Callithrix jacchus: one gene and its partners. The protein of the gene in region 1 interacts with the protein of each later gene in a biochemical or structural test. Links are inferred from orthologs where the notes say so. Each region holds a gene or a part of one and is shown on either strand. Other genes may lie near its edges. The genes, in order: DSG1, JUP and PKP1.

The links.
Region 2: the proteins of DSG1 (region 1) and JUP form a complex in vitro, tested with the Homo sapiens proteins (2 studies listed by BioGRID and IntAct). The link is inferred for Callithrix jacchus from reciprocal best matches to the Homo sapiens genes DSG1 and JUP.
Region 3: the proteins of DSG1 (region 1) and PKP1 form a complex in vitro, tested with the Homo sapiens proteins (2 studies listed by BioGRID and IntAct). The link is inferred for Callithrix jacchus from reciprocal best matches to the Homo sapiens genes DSG1 and PKP1.

What each region holds. Positions count from the first base shown.
Region 1 is NC_133514.1:74,477,334-74,480,977, reverse strand, and holds part of DSG1 (desmoglein-1), read right to left. Parts: intron 912-3,644; coding exon 876-911; intron 623-875; coding exon 491-622; intron 1-490. UniProt on the Homo sapiens protein: Component of intercellular desmosome junctions. Involved in the interaction of plaque proteins and intermediate filaments mediating cell-cell adhesion.
Region 2 is NC_133506.1:91,455,543-91,459,927, reverse strand, and holds the start of JUP (junction plakoglobin), read right to left. Parts: upstream 2,923-4,385; 5' UTR 2,853-2,922; coding exon 2,726-2,852; exon of another isoform or gene 2,410-2,725; intron 1-2,409. UniProt on the Homo sapiens protein: Common junctional plaque protein. The membrane-associated plaques are architectural elements in an important strategic position to influence the arrangement and function of both the cytoskeleton and the cells within the tissue.
Region 3 is NC_133520.1:28,295,583-28,299,809, reverse strand, and holds the start of PKP1 (plakophilin-1), read right to left. Parts: upstream 2,809-4,227; 5' UTR 2,621-2,808; coding exon 2,419-2,620; intron 1-2,418. UniProt on the Homo sapiens protein: A component of desmosome cell-cell junctions which are required for positive regulation of cellular adhesion.

The DNA of each region.
Region 1 (3,644 bases):
GTATCCGTATATTCATGAATCTGTAGGGGGTTGTTTCTAAGTGTGTGTGTATATGGAAAGAAAGTTACAGAAAAATGAATAGAAAAGGAGTATGAGAGAGGGCACTTTGTAAATGTTAATAAACAAAAAAGTAGGAATTCAATTCTAACACATCATGAGGGAAAAAGAGCATGCATTGAAGTAATTCCTTTGAATGCACTGAAAGCCAAATTCTTTATTTAAATAATAATGTTTTTACATCTAGAGTTTGGGATATCACATGATCACGTATATGCATTTCACAGTGAGGCGAGTCAGTGTTTTGCTGTTTCTCTGAGTGCCTGCATTTCTTAATTTGTCCTTAGGAGTTTCAGTTTTCACCACGTAGATGACAACAGTTCTGTTCTGTATGGTAGCTTCTCAGTGAGACATGTTCATCAAACATTAAAAAGGCTGTTTGAAACTGTATCCATTCTGATTTTCACTGTTATGCTTTGGAGTTGATACTTACTTTGGCGATTGGGTTTCTCTTTGAGTTGTCTTCACCTTCACGACAGGCCGCCGCGAACTTGATCCATTCACGTTTCTGCCTTCGGATTGAATGCCACTTGATGGTGCCATTTTTAGTGTTATAATCTCTTACCTTGAATGAGAGCAATAAAGAGATGGTATATATTAATTTAAATTTGTATTCCAAATTCCACTGAGATTTTTGGAAGAGGATATAATGTCTGAAGTAGAGGATGTTTAATTAGGAACGGTGGTAATTTTGGTCATCTATTAATTTTAGCATGATGTGAACTTTATAAGAATAAATTTTCTTCAGAAAATATGTTGTTATTCTCAAATTATATTCCTGTTTAAAAATTTGGAAAAAATGGATTTGTTATATTTACCTGGACTCGGAATTCACTGTTAACTTCTACCACCACCTATAAGAAATAAGATAATCACACTAGTTATTTTTTAATTAAATGCTTTAAAATGCATATTATTCAGTTACTTCAATAAAGATATAAAACCATAGGTTTGTGAATAATTATATTTTATCAGTCTATATAGCAGGTAGATTTGGTTTGTGTCTTGGGTCTGATGATGATGCTAAGAATTTTTGTTTTTACCGTTCGATTTACTCTTCTTTTTATTACTTCTATTTAAAATTTTTTTATTTTAGCTATGCAGATACTTGTTATTACATGGTAGAATATTTGAAGCTAGAACTCAAATAAAATGTGGTCAGAAGCTCAGGCTGTCTTAGTAAATCTTGTGCCCAAAGAGCTGAGATCTCTAAGGCTGTTCAGTAATATTACAAAATAAGTCAAAATCTGAAAACATTCGAGTATAGTTTCAGGATTTGACTAGCCACAGTTGTAAACAGAAAAAAAAAGTGTGTGTAGGGAAGAAAAGATATGAAGCAGAACAATATAAAGGCTTCAGAATATGTAATCCCTCACTCTAATTGTAGATCAAAGATTTCCTTGTATACTTGCAAATTTTAAGATGAAGTTTTTCACCTGCTTTGAAATATGAAAATAAAAAGTTCTAAAAGAAAAACATTTTCCTTTATGTAAAAATGAACTAGTTGATGTTTTATCTTTAGCTCTGAATGAAACAGATATTATAAATGCATCCTTCCACAGCAAGGAGAGGCAAATGCAGGAGTATAGGGACAAGTTGCTGGGAATGTAACTTCCTTAGTCTCTTCTCTTGTATTAAACAATTTCCCTAGATAAACAAGTATGTTAGTCAAGCTGCCTAGTTACAGCTCTCACTGTAATCTTTATGCATGATTTGCAGGAAAAAATTGAGATAATTTGAATTATTTTCCCTAAAAGTCATAGGCTTTTCTGAGACCATAGACATTTACATATGGAGTTTAATACATTCATGTACTTGTTTAAGACATTGTAAAATATGCCTAAAAATTAAGTGTGGACTGGGGGCTAGTTTGTATTTATTAAGTTTTAAGTTTTATTTATAATTCATTAAAGATAGTATAAATCCTTAATTTGTATTTCTCCCTAAATAAGAAATTTTCAACTTCTAATTGAATTTATTCAGAATTTCAAAGTATGAAAAATTTTATTTGTATCATTGATATAAAAAAATTATAGTTTGCATTTAAGAATACTAACAACAGTAATTTAAAAATACAAAAAAAGGTTTTTTTATAGTTGATTTTAATCGCATCATCAAATAAAATATAAAATTAATGTCTCTAAGTACCTACTTAAAAAAAATTACCACAATAGTTAATTCAGAAAATCAATACTTATGATCAATATGAAAGTGTAAAAAAGTCATGTTTTAATATAGTAATTACATGTCCATTGTATATTTAATATTAATAATTATGATTGTTATTACTATTTTAATTTATTTAATAATAACTAAGTACTAGGTAATGTATAAATCTATGCATTTAATCTTCACAGCAAATACATATGGTCAGCACTAATACTATCACATTTTTCAGATGAGGAAATTGAGTTTTGGATATTAATCTATGGCTAAATGCAATTCAATACAATTCAGAATAATTTGAACTTGAGTTGTGAGTTTTACAATAAAATATGAGATAGCCTATTCCCTTAAGTAAATTACTACTAAGTAAAACATGCTACAAAGAGTTGATATTGCAACTTTAAGAACACAAAAAATTCTGATTTTAATCTATTATCTTTGTGATTGGTAATATTTATATACAGCAGCAGTAATACAGCACAAAGAAAAAAAGAAAACTACATGGCCCAGAGTTTAGGTCATGTTATCCGTAGAGTTCACCTTGGGTGCAGAACTGAAATGATGTTAATATGCATGCATGCTCCTTGCTACCTGTGCATTTATGAACATTTTTTCCCTCTCTCTTGCTTGTGAGTGTGGGATGAGAGACGGGCATACCTTACTTGTCTGTTCGAAAGCCACTTCTTCATAGCTACAGAATTGTGTGTGCATCTGCTCTCTGTTGTTGCACTTCCCTTACTGCACTGGCGCATCAGTGCTTGCTGTTTGTTTTGGAAAACAGTGCAGATGACTAAGAAATCTTTCCAGCTTTATGAAGCTGGGTCATTCTTTTTCCCATGAGAGACAACCTTAGGCAGAAGACCAAGTGAGTTTCACCATACTGTCAGACTCTCAACTGGATTTGTAATTTAAAAACTGCCAAGTCTGCTTAAAAATGTGGTGGGTTGGTGTAAGCTTATTTTCTGTTGCTCAGAGTCTAGAAGGAATTCTGATACAAAGTCACTCTTGGATTTGCAAGGGCAAAATAGTGAAATCTGACTCTTGACAGAGTTGGAAAACCTTCAATGTATTTCCTTAATTCTCTGAACTTTCATTTTCTCACTTGTAAAATGACAATAGTAGACTGAATTTTATACAGGTAACTTTTCAGCTCTAATATTAAATACCTGTGTGCAGTAGGAAAATATTGAAGTATTTAGATTGTGGGAAGGGCATGATATAATTGCAGTTTTAAATCTTACTCTGACAACAGTTAGTAGGACTAGCAGGAAGAGGCAGTGATTATAGACGGTGAGCAGTTGAGGGTCTCTTTATCAAAGCAGACTAAAGTTGAGGAAGAGGTAAGCTGGAGCAGAGGCAGAGGGAATGAATGGTGAAAAATCAAAGAATACTGCAGGATAGCATTTAGCAGGGCTTGAGAA
Region 2 (4,385 bases), on another chromosome or scaffold:
TTGGTGCTGCTTGGGTCTCACTGTACGACCCTGGGCAAATTACTTAAGTTCCCTGAGTTTCAATTTCCTCATCTGTAGAATGGGGATAATGATACCCGCTTCTTTTTTTCTGAGACAGAGGCTCACTCTGTAGCCCAGGCTGGAGTACGGTGACACAGCTCACTGCAGCCTTGAGCTCCCTGGACTCAGGTAATACTCCCACCTCAGCCTTCCCAGTAGCCGGGACCACAGGCTTGCACCACCATGCCCAGTTAATTTTTCTATTTTTTGTAGAGACAGGGTTTTGCCATGTTGCCCAGGCTGGTCTGGAACTCCTGGGCTCAAGCAACCTGCCCCTCTGGGCCTCCTAAAGTGCTGGGATTACAGGTTTGAGCCATCGAGCCTGGGCAGCCTTAAGTTTGAAGTGAGACTAGCTAATGAAAGTGCTTGGTTTCTGTAAAGTCTTACCTTGATCTTGAGTTACCATTTGTCAAGTACTTACAGGGCAGATAGGTATTAGTATTCCCATTTTGACAAAGAGGTCACTGAGGCTCAGGTAATGGAATGAGGGACAGAGGTGGGTCTCAAACCCAGCTCAGTTCAAGCCCAAAGCCCTGTGCTCAGAACTGCCCCACCATCCCATCTCTCCAAATAAACAGTCCTTCTGTAGACTAGTCAATGGACCGATCTCATCCTAAAGTGGCTCCAGGAAGGGAAAAAGGCTGGCAGCCCTAGCCTGTCTTTTCTTGTTCCTATGCACTGAATTCTCAAAGCCTCAGCCCTGGCATTCCAAACAGAAGTTCCAGAGGGAATGGGGTGGAGCCAGGGTGCAGGGGAGGGGTGGAGTGGGTTCGGGAGGGCTCAAGTCACCCAAGCTGGGCTCCATCTAGCAAGAAATGACTAACTGGATCCTATCTTCTCCTCCTCCCCCGCGCCCCCAGTCCAGTCAGTGGCCAGTTTTCACCAGGCATCTCCTAGCAGTACTTCCTCAGTAGTATCTTTTCATCATAGCCACAAACCAGATTAGCTAAACTAATCATTTAGCCAACACAATTACAATGCCCTCCCCTCCTCCACCTTGGCACGGAGAAGAGGGAAAGCAGGTTATTTTTGCCCAAACTCCGTGCCCTGTTGCTCCCCAGAGGCAGGCAGCACCCCTTTCCCCAGCAGAAAAGGATCTGAGTTCCCACACTGGCTTCCCCCTGGTCCAGGGCTGTGCATGATCCCCACCCAGGACAAAGGGGCTGAGTCTGGCCCCCCAGCCTCAATCCCCCATCTACAGCAAAGAAAGAGGTGGCAGGCTCTTCCCCTCCAAGCACTCTCGATCCCCAGTTCTGCAATCTTTCTCCCACCCCCAGGACTGAGAGAGAACCCAACTCTTATATTCCCTCTCTGTTCCCAAGGCTGGGCTCCAAATCCTGCAAAATGACCGCACTTAGGACTTTTTAAAACCAGGGTAGAAAGCCTGGTGACGACCCCCAATTCTGGAGGCGGGGTCTCAGGAAATTGGGAGTAGGGAAGGAGGTGGGGGCGGTGGGGGGGGGCATTCACCTCTCCTGAGGGAGTCTAACATTGAAGAAACCTTCCCCTCCAAAAGCCTTTCTCCAGTCTCACTTTCCCTGTCAAATTCTTTCAGGAAAGGGGATAGGAAAGGTCTGCCCAGGCCTCCAGAAAGCATGCACCTTCATAATTCAGAAATCAAATGGAAGGCAAGCCCCACAGCCTCATGCTCTTCTGCCTCAATTACCAGCCAGCTAAGTAATGTGGGGGATGGGGTAGAGAAAAAAAAAAGACAAGAACATCCATTCCCCCCACCTTCCTAGCTTGGCCCAGCCCTGCCCCACCCCCATTCCTGGGGAGGGGGCAGAGCTTGAGAAAGAGCCACTCACGCAGGCCATGTCTGAGGGGGTGTGGTGGTCCCCGGAGGCAGGAAGAGAAAGAGAAGGAAGAAGCTGCTTCCCCTCTCGGCCCTTTCCACCCACCCCACCCCGGCCCCCACCTCAGGCCCCTGGGGCGCAGCTAACAGGATGGATGTGGGGGCAGGGAAGCCAGGGTCAGAGCGCAGGCAAAGGCCCAGGTTCAGCCGGGGGCCGGCTGGGGGAGGGGACTTTGCACCAAGAAGGACCTCCTAAGCCTAAAGGAAGTTCTGGGCAAGGAGACGGGAAAACCCCCAGAGAACGCTGCTGTGAATACTTCCTCCTGCAAAGTTTGTTTTGGGTGATTTTTCCAACAATAAGAGGTTAGAAAAGAAGACGATTCCTGTTCCCCTACCAACACTCTGGCAGCCACAGCTACTGGAAACTGGGCCAGGTGACCCTGAATGCTTCACTCGTGCACAGACCCCTCCCCCCAGACCGAGCCACGGGTGCCAAACACCAGCTGGACACTGGGCCGAGCCGTGCACCAGCCCCCACTGTCACTCCATCCCACCTCTGCTGGAGAAGCCAGAGCCGGGCACCCACTGGAGTGGAGGGAGGCGCCGCAGGTAGTATCGACGAGGCTCCGGGAGCTGGAGGGCTGGGCCTCTGGACTCCGTGCGCTCACCTGCTCGGCAGGTGGGGCCAGCGTCACTGGGAAAATGTGCGCTCGGCCCCCACAGTTGGGCAAGCTGGGCGCAGACAATAGGGCCCCACCCAGGCCTGGGGGAGTAGAGAGGGAGGGAAAGCGAGGATGACGCGTGGGGTGGGGTGAGGGTGGCCCCAAAGAGACCAGCGGCAGCAAGTTTCCCAAACGGTAAATTACTGACTGCAGCGAGAGCCCTGGGACGCAGTCAAAGCAGGGCAAAGTCTCCCCCTCCAGCTCAGGACGAGAGTCAGGGACGCGGCGTCGGGCGAGCTGTGCGGGCCCCGGGAGGGGCGCGACCCCCGAGGCATCTGCCCGGAGCCCTCCCGCCCTGCTCAGATCTCCCGCTCGCGGAGCTCCTAAGCGCGCTCGGCCCGAACCGCGCGCCCCCCCAGTCGCCGCGCCCAGGACCCCAGCGCGCCCCCTGCTGCCAGTGCAGGGTGGCGCTCCATGGCACCCGCCCTCACCTGCCCAGAGACTGCTGGGACCGGCCCCGCGGCCGCTCGCCACCCCTTCTCTCCCCATCGATACCTGTCCTCGATCGCCCGCACCTGAGTCTGGGGCCTGGCCGGCCGGGTAGAAATCGGGCCGGGGTGGGAGCCGGCGCGGACAGCGAACTGAACTCGGCGCGCTCGGGCGGCGGCTGCTCCGGACTCTGGCCAAGGCAGCAACTCAGTAACCGAACAAAAGGCGAAGAGACCTGACAGCCAAGCCACGCCCCTCGCCACCTCGAAACTCCGCCCCTGGGGGAGACGCCCACCCGCTGATGCGAGCTCACTGGCTGTCTCGCCTGACTGTCCCGTCAAGGGGTGGAGCCTCGCGTCCAGTCCTTCTCCACGGCCGCCTCTGTTTATCCGCTTGCCATTGGCCCCAGGGACTGCCAGTCGGCTCTAGGGATGGACTCTAACTTGAGATCTCATCCTAACACTTCACCAATTGGCAGATAGAAAGTTACTTTCTCCTGATTGGGCAAGGGACTGTCAGTAAGACTAAGGAAAAAAACCAATGGAAGGTATGGGGTGTGTCTTGCCCCACCCTTGCTCTGAGCAGGTGAGACTCACTACTCTCCCCTTCCCCCTACCTGTCCAACAGGTAAGTCAGGGGATACCAAGGGAAGGGACAGACGCCTTCACCAGCCAGCCAACTCAGCGTCAGGCATGATGCTTCTTTGGGCTTATTCATCCTTGCCCCAAAGTGGTAATAACATATTTGTATGGCATTTCATAGGCTTTGTGCTGGGTTGGGATTTTTTTCCCCAAAGATGGAGTACTTCTGGGATTCAGAATTAGAAGGCCAGGGTTTGTGTTTTGCCGCTTACTATGACCTTAGACAAGTTACTTCACCCTTCCCGCTGTTTCTCCTCATCTGTAAACTGGGTACATTAGCCATATCTACCTCACTGGAGTATGTGGGGATTAAATGAAGTCAGGTTTGTGGAAGCACTCAGAAACTGATAAAGATTAGAATTTAAATTAATGGTATGGGTTTTTTGTTTTCGTTTTTCTTTTTTAATTCTCGTGACAGCTCTGAAAAATAGGACTAGAAAATGATCCTCATCGTAAAGATGAAGAAACCGAGGTTCAGAGAAATCACAAAACTACAAAGTGACACACCCCAAGCTAGAACCACCTTCCTCTCATTTGAAGGACCACCAAATCAGCTGTTCCCCTCATGGAAGAAGAGCATAGACATAAAATGTCAAGGCAGTGGGGAAGGGGCAGAGAAAAGGCACAAGATAGAGACAAGATAGAAAAATTGGAGGTGAGATAGAACAACTGCTTGGCCCAAAAATACAGTATTGGTGTCAGGAGGCTTTGGTGGGCTTGGAAACATCAAGCTGCAGA
Region 3 (4,227 bases), on another chromosome or scaffold:
TGGGGTGTGGCCAGCCCTTCTTAACTAGGGGAACTTCGGATAGGATTCAAGGGGCTCAAGAAGACTCTAGGTGAACCAACTCTCAGCTCTTAGAAGAGACTAAAGGAGAATTTGAATCTGTCTGGGGGCATGGTCCTTCCATGTCCCCCGGCTCATTCCATTCCAGGAACCCAGGCAGACTCCTGACAGGTAAACCAGCATGAGAAAGAGGGAGCAGAGTGAGTAGAGGTGGCCGCAGAGCAAATAGGGGACGCTTGGGCGTTTCTGATGGAGAGGACAGAGAAATCTGATGAAAACTAAGCCAGATAAACCAGAAACACCAGCTCCAAGTGCCCAAACCGCCTCTTCCAGTGAGGATGCCTCTGGGGAAACCAGCCTCCTTTAGGGGCCTCCTGAGGCTGAGGGCACAGGGAACAGGCCCATAGGGCCAGTCCTTGGAGTTTCTGGAGAGGTAGCCATCAGCATCAACCCTCCCTGTCTGAAGACCCCTGGGGGACCTTCAGGGGAAAAACAAAGAAGGAACAAAGGCGACCTTATCAGACAGAAATTACCCAGGAAGACCAAACTCAGAAAGTGCACTTCATGCCGATAGACACTCAGCCCATATCGACATAGGTGGGAAGAAGAAAGGGTCCTTGGGGCACCCAGGGCCGGCTTGAGTTTTCTGGAGCTGTGAGCCAAGGGCTCAGGCTGAGATGGAGTGGGAGTGGGAAGGGGACAGTCAAGTCTTGTGCAGAGAGGAGAGTAGGTTGGCTTGAGCTGTGCCCTGGGCTGTAGCCAGAAATGGGGGCATTTTGTTCTTCCAAACCCACTTTTAAAGAGGCTAGGAGGCAGCTACCAAGGAACCAAATAAAAGGGAAGGAGGCAAGTGCTCTGGAGGCGGCATGACCTTGAGTGGAAATGTGAGGAGAGGAGCCCGGAGCCCGGACAAAGGCAGAGCACACAGCGCAGCAAAGACCTTTAGGTCTGAGGCCCAGGAAGTCCTCTGCCCGCCATTTTCCCTCCCTCGGCTCTACACGGGGCCACCCAGGAATGGGGGCTGGGGCCAGAGGTAGAGAGTGTGAGTGGTGTGTGTGTGTGTGTGTGTGTGTGTGTGTGCGTGCGGTCGTGTGCGTGTGTGCGTGGTGGGAGAATGGGCAGGGTCGGTTTCTTTTGCCCCCTTACACCTTTTTACCCCCTGCCCTCACTCTCTCTTAAGGTCTGTCTTGAGAAATAAGTCTTGATTGACATGTATTGGTTTGCAGTGGGTAGAGTCTTTATCAGCATTTTACTAAACTTAGCTAAATAAAATAAAAAAAACAAACAAGTGGAAGCTTTGCTCACTTGTGTGGAATTCTTGCCCGGCATCCTTTGCATGAAAGCGTTTATTTGGTCTGTAAGCTCTCCCCTGTCCGGTACTGCCCCTTCCTCCTTGAGTTTCCTGGGTGCTGTCACCTTTCTCCCAGGCTGCCCCGTCATGGGATCTGGCCTCTCAGAGGCTGGAGGAGGGGGTGCCAGGCCTGGAATCCAGCTTGGAAAAGTGCCTGGGAGGGCTCAGCTGAAGGTCTCCCTGGGGCTTGGGGGATTTCCAACCTGCCAGGCTCATTCCCTGCCCTCCCCATGAGACACTTGTTTCTACTGAAGCTGGGTGGGGTAGGAAGAATCCGGTGGGGAAGAGGATTTCTGCCTTGGCTATTGGGGAAAGAAGGCATCCCTAACCCCCTTCCCTGTCGTCAGTGGAACCACTGGCCATGGGGCGGCCTTCCAGCTAGGCTAGCCTCTTCCGGGAGGCTCCGGATTAAGTGCCCCGAAGTTCCAGGGCCTCGTCCCTGCTCCCTGTGCTATTTCCCTGTCCCGCAGCGCCTCTCCTGAGCTGCACTCCTGTCTCAGCGACTCTCACCCCGCTCTGGCGCGCACACACACGCAACACACGGCCCCACAGGGACTGGGGTTCCCCTTGGCCTGGGCTCTGGGCATCGGCCGTGAGCTGAGACAGGGAGACCAAGCCCAGGAAGGGTGCAAGGTGACCCACAACCGTTTGCGAGCGCTAGGCCATGGCCCCAGGACAGCCGGGACGGGCCAGGATGCGGCGCGGATCCGCAGAGCGGCGTGGGAAAGAGAAAGCTGTCTAGACCCAGGCAGGGCTCAGGAACACGAGAACCGCTCGCGGGGGATCCTCAGGCTTCCGGAACGCTGGGAGACTCTCCTGGCCGAGTCCCGGTGAACCAACCACCCACCCATTCTGGCCCACTGGCGCGCCATCGAGCTAGTGGAGCCGTCGAGCCGGCTTCGGGTCGTGGAACAGGCTGGGAGCTCAGCTGCTCGCGCTCGCACTCGGAGCGTAGACCCTGCCTGGTGCCGGCAGCCCCTCACCTCCTGGCACCGCCTCGGTCCCCGCCGCTGGGCCAGGGCGCTCGGGAAAGGGGGCCGGGCCTTTACCTCGATTGGAGTGGCTCAGGGTGGACGACTGGGAAGACTTGGACTTCTGCCGCCTGACGGTCATCATCACCTGCTCCTGCACGCGCTGCCGGCCAGACGTGCCCGTTTTCATCTTTTGGTCCGACGGCAAAGCCAGCGTGGAGTGGTCCTGGTCCTGGAAGCATTCGTACGCCAAGGCGGTCTTGAGCGGCGAGGGGTTCATGGTGGCAGGAGGCGGGAGGCGCGGGCCGGGGCCGGGGAGAGCGCGGTGAGGTGCGGTGCAGCGGGCGGGCGGGAGCGTGCTCTTCTCGCGCTCAGCGGCTCCCTGTGGCCATAGAGTGAGTGGTCCGCGTGAGGGCTCCCGGCAGCTGCTCCTGGCGCCTCCACCCTGGCTCGTCCCTCTCTGGCACTGGCGAGGCCCGCCCTCCGTCAGACAGGATATACCACCCCTGCCCTGCACCACCCACTCCACCCGGCTGCGCGCTGCTGCCGCTCAGGCGCGGGGCTGCAGGGCACTGCCGCTGGGAGCCAGCGCTCTTGGGGCAAGGCTGCGAGGCCTCCGTGCGGGACGCTGGGCGCCTTCCTGCTCGCTCTTTCTTTCTCTCCCTTCCCCCTCTCCATGAGCTAGAAACGTCGCAGGCCTGGAGGCCCCAGGGAGACGCCCCTCTGTCCTGTTCTGCTGGCTCATTGAGAAAGCCTGTGCTCAGCTCAGGAACAGAGAGGGACCTCTCTCTAGGAAAAAAAGGAGTGTTTCTTGACCAGGCTGCCCAGAAGAGCCAGGCGTCCATCTCCCTCTGTACTGAGGTCATGGCAGAGACCAGTCTTGTCGGTGGAGGCTCCCGGGCTGATGGCAGAACCATAGCTCTTGCCCCAAAGGTGTGCTCCATCTTATGGGGACCACCCAGGCGACTCTTAGCAGCTTCCCCTGAAGAAAGAGGGGCAGGGGCAGGAAGCCCATATCAAGGAGCAGACTTTAGATAACAGAGCACACAGTAGGTGTGCCTTGGTAAAACTGGCGGTTATGTCTTGTTCATGAGTATACCCCGGTAAAACACCACGTGAACAGCAGATCCTCTCTGAAACTCCACACAGAGCCTCTAAAACAATGCCTGGCATAATACTAGGCACTCAATAACAAATATTTTTAAACAGGTGAATACACGAGTGCTAGCTAACTTAATGTGAATTAAGTGTAACTTGGCTCCTAACCAGATCCTCACTGAATCACTGAAAAGCTGCTTTGCCCCAAAAGTCCACTGTGGATTTATTACTATTCTGGGACCACTATGTGCATTCTCCTGTACACACTCACACCCCTGGGGACACATGAGCAGTGAAGCTTCATTCACGTAGCATGCTCTGCAGGCCTGCAGGGAGCCCACATCAGTGAATTCGGTGTGTAACAGGAGCTGAGTGTTTTGTAAAGTATCTACTTTGATGGAAATCTTTCTAAAAGGCATCACATTCTGTCTTGCCTCCTAAAGCAAACAATACTGAACACACTTGCTGTACTTCTTGATGCCCTGGGTTTCTCATTCTGGGCATCCATTACTGAACTGTGTGATCGTGCAGTCTGGTCAGCTTTAGTTTTGGGGCCTCCACCGGCTGTGTGACCCTATCATAGCTGTCACTCTTGCTGCCATTTGTAGCTGCTGCTCACAGCTCACACACTTCACTTTTAGTGTGCTCTTAGGGAATTTTATGTTGAGGAAGGATCCAGAAGACTGAATGACTGCCTTGGGAACCACATGAAGGCCACTCATGCACTTCCTGAGATATGGGTGTTACATGCGGGGAGTCCCAACTTTCTCAAGGAAGGTATTTCTGGTA